Linked DNA regions of Macaca mulatta. The protein of the gene in region 1 interacts with the protein of each later gene in a biochemical or structural test. Links are inferred from orthologs where the notes say so. Each region holds a gene or a part of one and is shown in the gene's direction. Other genes may lie near its edges.

What was found.
Region 2: the proteins of RNF114 (region 1) and XAF1 form a complex in vitro, tested with the Homo sapiens proteins (2 studies listed by BioGRID). The link is inferred for Macaca mulatta from reciprocal best matches to the Homo sapiens genes RNF114 and XAF1.

What each region holds. Positions count from the first base shown.
Region 1 is NC_133415.1:102,783,131-102,786,938, forward strand, and holds part of RNF114 (E3 ubiquitin-protein ligase RNF114), read left to right. Parts: intron 1-2,584; coding exon 2,585-2,691; intron 2,692-3,338; coding exon 3,339-3,453; intron 3,454-3,808. UniProt on the Homo sapiens protein: E3 ubiquitin-protein ligase that promotes the ubiquitination of various substrates. In turn, participates in the regulation of many biological processes including cell cycle, apoptosis, osteoclastogenesis as well as innate or adaptive immunity.
Region 2 is NC_133421.1:8,229,449-8,234,015, forward strand, and holds the start of XAF1 (XIAP-associated factor 1), read left to right. Parts: upstream 1-1,685; coding exon 1,686-1,717; exon of another isoform or gene 1,718-2,144; intron 2,145-4,030; coding exon 4,031-4,166; intron 4,167-4,567. UniProt on the Homo sapiens protein: Seems to function as a negative regulator of members of the IAP (inhibitor of apoptosis protein) family. Inhibits anti-caspase activity of BIRC4. Induces cleavage and inactivation of BIRC4 independent of caspase activation.

The sequences.
Region 1 (3,808 bases):
CACTGCACTCCAACCTGGGCGATAGAGCTGGACTTTTTTTTGTCTCAAGAAAAAAAAAGTGATTCAGTTTCGAAAGCTACATAACATTTTCTGCCCTTTGACAAATTTTTACCAAAAGTTGGTAAAAACTGTAGAATGTTTACCAACCCAGTTGTAGAATTTTTGCAAAATGAGATCACACTATAATATATATGTTTCTTCAACTTTTTTCACTTGTTTAAATGTACATTCATTCCCAACTTTTTTTTCACTTTCAGTTTTTTTTTTCTCTTACATATTGGACAGCCTTGCATGTCAGTTTCATTATTTTTTAACACTTCGGTATGGATGCCCATAGTATGAATATACCTTACCATCTCCTTTTCAGGGTGATTTAGTATTAGCGATGCATAGTAGGACCATTTTAATGCTGAATAGGGCTATTTTCTATATCTTAATTGGGGGCTTCACTATTGAGGCTGGGCATGGTGGCTTATGCCCGTAATCCTATCACTTGGAGAGGCCAAGGTAAGAGAATCACTTGAGCCCAGGAGTTCGAAATCAGTCTGGGCAGCATAGTGGGACACTGTATATACCAAAACAAGCCAACAAACAAAACTAGCTGTGTGTAGTGGTGTCTGCATGTAGTCCCAGCTCCTTGGGAGGCTGAGGTGGGAAGATTGCTTGAGCCCGGGAGTTTGAGAGCAGCCTGGGGAATATAGTGGACCCAGTTTCTACAAAAAAAAAAATTGGGGATTCCTCAGTTTGTAGCTTAAAGTCAAGTTCTTTAGCTGGAGGTGAGACAATCATCATGGTAAGCTGGAGCTCCAATCTTGGAGCATTTTTCCCCCTTTGAAGTTTACTTTTAGAAACTCAAGATACTGAATTACAGTTTCCTACTGCCTTTTTTTTTTTTTTTTTTTTTTTTTTTTGAGACGGAGTCTCACTCTATCGCCCAGGCTGGAGTGCAGTGGCATGATCTCGGCTCACTGCAAACTCCGCCTGTTGGGTTCACACCATTCTCCTGCCTCAGCCTCTGGAGTAGCTGGGACTACAGGTGCCTGCCACCACGCGCGGATATATATATGTATACATATATATGTATATATCTCGTTTTGTTTTGTTTTGTATTTTTAGTAGAGGCAGGGTTTCACCGTGTTAGCCAGGATGGTCTCGATCTCCTGACCTTGTGATCCGCCCACCTCGGCCTCCCAAAGTGCTGGGATTACAGGTGTCAGCCACTGCACCCGGTCTCTTCATCTTTATTTATGCATGCATAATGTGGTTTTTGGTTTTGTTTTGTTTTGTTTTGTTTTGTTTTTTGAGACGGAGTCTGGCTTTGTTGCCCGGGCTGGAGTGCAATGGTGTGGTCTCGGCTCACTGCAACCTCTGCCTCCCTGGCTCAAACCATCCTCCCACCTCAGCTTCTCAAGTAGCTGGCACCACAGGCATGTGTCACCACGCCCACCTAATTTTTTTTGTATTTTTAGTAGAGACAGAGTTTTCATGTTGCCCATGCTGATCTGAAACTTGGGAGTGCAAAGTGATGGTCCACCTCAGCCTCCCTCAGGATTACAGGTGTGAGCCACCACGCTCCACCCATGATGAGCTTTTTGTTTGTTTTACTGTGTGCTTTTGCTTTTCTCCATTTTCAAGATCAGTTATTGTATGGTTGGCATGCCTCTAAAAATGTTTTTCTTTCCTCCCTCTTTTCTTCAATTCTTAAAACTTTCTTTCTTTTTAGAAAACCTGTAATGAAGCATTATTCTCTGGGTTTTCTTCTCTTTCTATTTTACTATTGCACAGCCTAGATTTTATGTGAAAGGTTGGGCTAGGCATGGTAGCTCACACCTGTTAGCCCAGCACTTTGGGAGGCCAAGGCAGGCATATCACTTGAGGTCAGGAGTTCGAGACCATCCTGGCTAACATGGTGAAACTCCATCTCTACTAAAAATATGGAAATTAGCTGGGCATGATGGCACACGCCTGTAACCCCAGCTACTCAGGAGGCTGAGGTGGGAGAATCACTTGAACCCGGGAGGCGGAGGTTGCAGTGAGCCAAGATGGTGCCACTGCACTTCAGTCTGGACAACAGAGTAAGTGAGACTCCATCTCAAAAAAAAAAAAATTTAGATTTTAAAGATTATTTCTCAGAGTCTGGTGATTGATACTTTAATCAGGGTTGGTGGCTTTTATACGTTTTACCTAAATGATCACTTTTCTCTGCTGCACATAACAGAATGTGGTTTTTGGCTTGCTATAAGGAGACTAGTTTAAATGCTAGTATAGAAAACTTTTAACAACATCCTAGATTTGGAACTTGTCTGTGAGCACACAGCCTGTCATGAATAGGAGCAAACCTCTAGAAGAGTTATTTTAGAGTGGAAGCGGATATCCTGATTTAGTCAAATAAAATAGCAGCCTTGTTATTAATGGGAAATCTGCAATAATCAGGGTTTCAGCCCCATCAGCATAGTCAGGAGTCTGGTGAGATTATTTGCCAGGGTGGTGTAGGTCTAGTTTTCTTTGCGCCCTTGTTTGGGACTACATTTGGCCTGTTACAAGGTCCTCACTAACTTGTGGGCTCTGATTCTTCCTATTTGAGTTCTTCCTATCCAAGATCCGGTCCCATGTGGCTACTTGTTCCAAATACCAGAATTACATCATGGAAGGTGTGAAGGCCACCATTAAGGATGCATCTCTTCAGCCAAGGTAAATGACTCAGTCTCCCCTTAGGTGGAGGTCATCTCTTGCTATTAATACAAAGAGGTTGGACACCTTGCATGGTCAGGGGTTTAGTTGTATGAATTGTTATGCTGGCTAAAGCTGATACAAGTATTTTGGGAGGAGTATGCAAGGGAGGACTCTGGTGTTCACTTCAGATGTTAGCTGAGCTATTCTTTTTTTCTTTTTTGAGATGGAGTCTCGCTCTGTTGTCTGGGCTGGAGTGCAGTCGCGCAATCTCAGCTCACTGCAACCTCTGCCTCCCGGGTTCAAGAGATTCTCCTGCCTCAGTCTCCCGAGTAACTGGGATTACAGGCACCTGCCAGTAATCCTGACTAAATTTTATATTTTTTAGTAGAGACAGGGTTTCGCCATGTTGGCCAGGCTAGTCTTGAACTCCTGACCTCAGGTGATCCTCCTGCCTTGGCCTATTGGGATTACAGGTGTGAATCACCATGTCCGGCTAGCTGAGCTATTGTCTTCAAAACACTTGATCTGAGTCTAAAGTGATCATCAGCGTCCTTGTCGTTACACATTCGGTGAGCTTTGCTCCTTTTGGGAGTGTACTGTGGTTGAAGTTGAATGGAAAGGTACTCACAGAAAAATTTTCTTTTTTCCTGTCTTTCACCTTCCAGGAATGTTCCAAACCGTTATACCTTTCCTTGTCCTTACTGTCCTGAGAAGAACTTTGATCAGGAAGGACTTGTGGAACACTGCAAATTATTCCATAGCACGGATACCAAATCTGTGGTAAGAGTAACCTTTTTTTTTTTTTCCTCTTAAACTCTATTATGGGAAAGGATCAAGCTTGGAGAAAAATGATGGGATTAGTAAAATGAACTCCTGTGTGCCCTACACCTAGATTCACAGATTGTTAACATTTTACCATATTTGCTTAACCATGCTCTATAATACACACTTTTTGCTGACCACTTGGGAATAAGCTACAGATACCATGACTTTTTTGCACCCTGAATAGTTTGCACCCTGATACAGTAGTGTATATGTCTTAAGAACAAGAGTGTTTTCCTGGAAAATTATATTTTTGTGTGTATAATCATATTCAAGAAATTTAACATTGATACAATCTAATATCTAACATAAA
Region 2 (4,567 bases), on another chromosome or scaffold:
GCAGGAGACAATGTGTGAAAAGAAAGCTCTTCGTTTTTCTTTTTTCCTTCCTTCCTTCCTTCCTTCCTTCCTTCCTTCCTTCCTTCCTTCCTTCCTTCCTTCCTTCCTTCCTCCCTCCCTCCCTCCCTCCCTCTTTCTTTCTTTTGACAGAGTCTCGTTCTGTTGTGCAGGCTGGAGTGCAGTAGTGCAATCTCGGCTCACTGCAACCTCCACTTCCTGGGTTCAAGCGATTCTCCTGCCTCAGCCTCCTGAGTAGCTGGGGTTATAGGCACACACTACCACACCCGGCTAATTTTTGTATTTTTAGTAGAGACGGGGTTTCACCATGTTGGTCAGGCTGGTCTCCTGACCTCGCGATCCACCCACCTCAGCCTCCCAAAGTGCTGGGATTATAGGCATGAGTCACTGCGCCCGACCTGCTTATTTTTCATTCTTAATATTCACAGACTGCCCAGAGACAGACAGGAATGGGCAGTGAGGGTCAGAAGGATTAAGGAGCTTGCCTAGCCAGTGAGGAAGGGAACAAGATAAGATGCAAACCTCAGTCTCTGACTCTTGGTTAAGTGCTCCCTACCCCAACCAGCTGTCAAATGAGGTGGACGGGGTCTTGATTAGGTACATAGACACCTGAATAAGATCAACCTGGTGTGAATCCCAGCTCTGATGTTGAGTGATTGACCTAGTCTCTCTCTGCCTCCATTTTCTCTTTTTTTCTTTTCATTTTTCTTTCTTGAGGCAGAGTCTCACTCTGTCACTGCCTCTGTTTTCCACAGGAAAATGGAATCAACCATGCTTACCTGAGGGATTAAAACGAAGACAATGCCTACCTAATGCTTAGAACGGTGCCTGGAACCTAGACGATGCCGAAGCAGTCCTTCATGCTTCCCTCCTATCGCTGTGATCATCAGTACCACCACGCACTGCTTCTCATTTAGTGCCTGAGTTTTAGAGCCTGCCTGGAAGCTGGAGCCCTGCCTGGACATTTCCCTTAATTTTGTTACCCTCCTCAGAGAGGCGGCACCCACCCCACTGGCAGACTCCTCGGGAATTCTCTGGGCCTGCTTGTCATCACTCCAGACGTTGTTTAGAGTCCTTCTGTAAGCACAGCTGTTTCTAGTATCTGCAAAAACTCTTAAGGGCCCCGGGGAGGATACACACCAGATTGGGTCTGGGCTCACACTACCCTGCATCCCCAGAGCCTCCCTGGACGCTGTTTGCGAAGTCCTCACCGCCTCAAGTCCAGGAGCCATTTTTAGGGAACAGCATTCAAGCTCAACACGGCAAGTTCCCTCTTTCCTGCAGAGGGAGGAGCAGAAGGGAGCCGGAGATCGGGGAGAAGGGTGGGAGGTGGATGGTTTGGAAAAGGGATGGAGACCCAGACAGAGCGAAGCCAGTCAGCCAGGGTAAGCGAACAAGCTGCTGCCCAGGAGAAGCCTGGCCTCAGGCTCCCTGTGATAGCAGCAAAGAATGACCGCAGAGAGCGGCAGCAGGTGCTGGCCATGCTGTAGAGGGGCTTCCTGGGAGGGTCCAGCCACAGGAATCAACGGGGAATCCTGAGCCGAGAATTCTGAGGGTAGGATCTCCTCCCTCCCTGAAGCTGTGGGCTGGGCCGTCGGAAGACTTTCAGTTTTGTTTCCTTGCCTGCAAGAAACGAAACTCAACTGAAAGACTCCAGAGAGCAGAACATGGAAGGAGCCTTCTCGGTGTGCAAGAACTGGTAAGAAAGCGCTTTCTCCAGCAGCAGACCCCGGCTGGTGAGGGAGAAACGCCGAGGAGATAGGGCTGTTTCTGAAGGGAGGAGAAAGTAGTTCCGGCATAAAAACACTTAGGAGGACAAGCAGCTGGAGACCGTGGGCCCCGAGGGTAGGAGGGTCTAAACGTGATAATCTCTGGGCGAGGGTGGACAGCATTACCTCCACTTCACTGCAGCCCCTTCCCCCCAAATTTTAGGCTTCCTGGGACTGTTCTGAAGACAAATAGCCCGGCCAGTGGTCCCAGCTGGGCTACTCATACTTGTGAGACCTTGGGTCCTAATCTGGGGTTCTGATACTCTGACCTTCACACCAGTCTGTGAAAGAAAGGGTCCCACGGAGATTCTCCAGGACTACTCTCACCCTCCTTGAAAGGGAGCCGTGGGGCAGAGCAGGGAGGACAGAGCAGGGGGCTGGGACCACACCTCTAACGGGGCGGGGCGGGGGCGGGGGCGGAATCTGACCCGTGGAAAAGCCCCATTCTCAGAGCTCCCTACCTGTGGCAGGGACTTGAGTGGGACCCTCCCCGGAGAGCTTTGCTCCAGCCAGACCCTTCAACTACTCTGGTTTCTCAACCAGCCTAGGAGGAGCAGGGGGAGAAGGGACCAGGCCAGGCAGAGGAGAGAGAACAGAGGAAGGGAAAATGCTGCCGCCTGTGTGCCCGCTGCCTGGGCAGAGCAGAAGCAAAGAGCTTGTTCACATCAAGAGGAGTGAGGCTTTGACGGTCCCTCTCGGGGCACGCCCCATGTGCCAGGGACATGGGCATGCAACTGTTCTCGTCCTCTGGGCCTTTATGGCTACCGCAGTTTATCTGTAGGTCAAATATACTTCTATAAGGCTGTTTTTAAAATGAAACATTTCACTTTAAATAATGTAAATAATTAAATTATTTCAATTTCAACAATTCGAGAGAAGTGCCAACTTCTCTTGAATCTTTTTTCTTGTTTTCTGGTGCCCCTCTTTGGTCCACAGTGTTAGGAACGCAGCCCTGCTAGGGCAGCCTTGCTCCCCATTTCCCTTCTCCCGAACTGCCACGAGCAAGAGTTGATGGAAGTGAAAAGGGTCATTTATTTCTTTCTTCGTTTTTTTTTGTTTTTTTTTTTTTTAAGATGGAGTTTCGCTTCCTTTTGCCCTGGCTGGAGTGCAATGGTGCGATCTCAGCTCACTGCAACCTCCACTTCCCGGGTTCAAGTGATTCTCCTGCCTCGGCCTCCCGAGTAGCTGGAATTACAGGCGTGCGCCACCACGTCCGGCTAATTTTGTATTTTTTTAGTAGAGATGAGGTTTCACCATGTTGGCCAGGCTGGTCTCTAACTCCTGACCTCAGGTGATCCACCCGCCTCGGTTTCCCAAAGTGCTGGGATTACAGGCGTGAGCCACCACACTTGGCTAATTTTGTATTTTTAGTAGAGATGGGATTTCTCCATGTTGGTCAGGCTGGTCTTGGATTCCCAACCTCAGGTCATCCACCCGCCTTGGCCTCCCAAAGTGCTGGGATTACAGGCGTGAGCCACGGCGCCCAGCCGAAAGGGGGCGCTTCTTGGTGAAGAGGATGGTTGGAGAAAAACGCCCTGCCCAGGAAGTGGGAGGCTCAGAACCCTTCCTGCATTGTGGTCTCTGGGAAGAACCTCGGAGTCTCTGTGAGTTAGCGCAGGTGAACCTGGAGGCAGGAGAGACGGGAAGCTCTCGCTTTGGAGATTCTGGAAGTTGACATGGCCCTGGCAGGAAGCATGAGCCTAGCAGGGCTGTGTTCCTAACACTGTGGACCAAACAGGGGCACCAGAAAACAAGAAAAAAAGATTCAAGAGAATTTGGCACTTCTCTCGAATTGTTTAAATTGAAATAATTTAATTGTTTACATTATTTAAAGTGAAATGTTTCATTTTAAAAACAGCCTTATAGAGGTATAATTGACCTACAAATAAACTGCACATTTTAAAGGGTAATAATTGGTAAGTGTTGGCCTATGTTATACACATCCATGAAACACCATCACCCCCAAACCTCCCCCGTGCCCCTTGGTAATTCCTCCCTCCTGCTCCTTCCCATGCCCCGCCCCAGCAATGTAAGAGCTCTGCAGAACGTCCTTATTCTTATTCGATGCTGCCCCACTGTTCTGGTTTTGGACCCACACAGGGAGTGTGGGGCAGGAGGTCATCATCATCACATGTTCAGTGCTTAAGGCCTCTGGAGATCTAGCCCTGGGTATGAAATACAGCTCCATGTTTTATAATTTGAAAATAAGTCTGCTTTCCCATCCCCCCACCTTGACCCTGTAGCAAAAGACACGTAGCCTCTGCCCACTTCGCCCTCCATGAGGCTCACTGCCTGCGGTTCCTGGTCTTGTGCCCGGAGTGTGAGGAGCCTGTCTCCAGGAAAAACATGGAGGAGCACTGCAAGGTTGAGCACCAGCAGGTGAGGAAGTGGCAAGGATGGGGTCTGGGAATCGGGGCAAGGGTGCAGTCCTGCCTGCAGGAGAGATGGGGTCTGAGAGTCGGGGGACGAGGGCCCAGTCCTCCCTGCAGGTGAGATGGGGTCCGGGAGTCAAGGTGAGTGTTCAGTCTTCCCTGCAGGAGAGATGGGGTCTGGGAGTTGGAGCGAGGGCTGGGGACTTAAGGCAAGGGTCCAGTCCCCCAGGCAGAGACTCACTTGAGGGTCATGGGAAGTCATTCAGCCCCTCCACACGAAGCCCTGTGGAAAGGAAATGTTAATCCTGCCTTTTCATGCTAATCTGAGTCTACCTCCAGTTTTCCCATTTCCAATCCTTTCCCTATAGGCTTATGGATCTGGCACAGGCAAGAGGTTCTGGTTTCAGG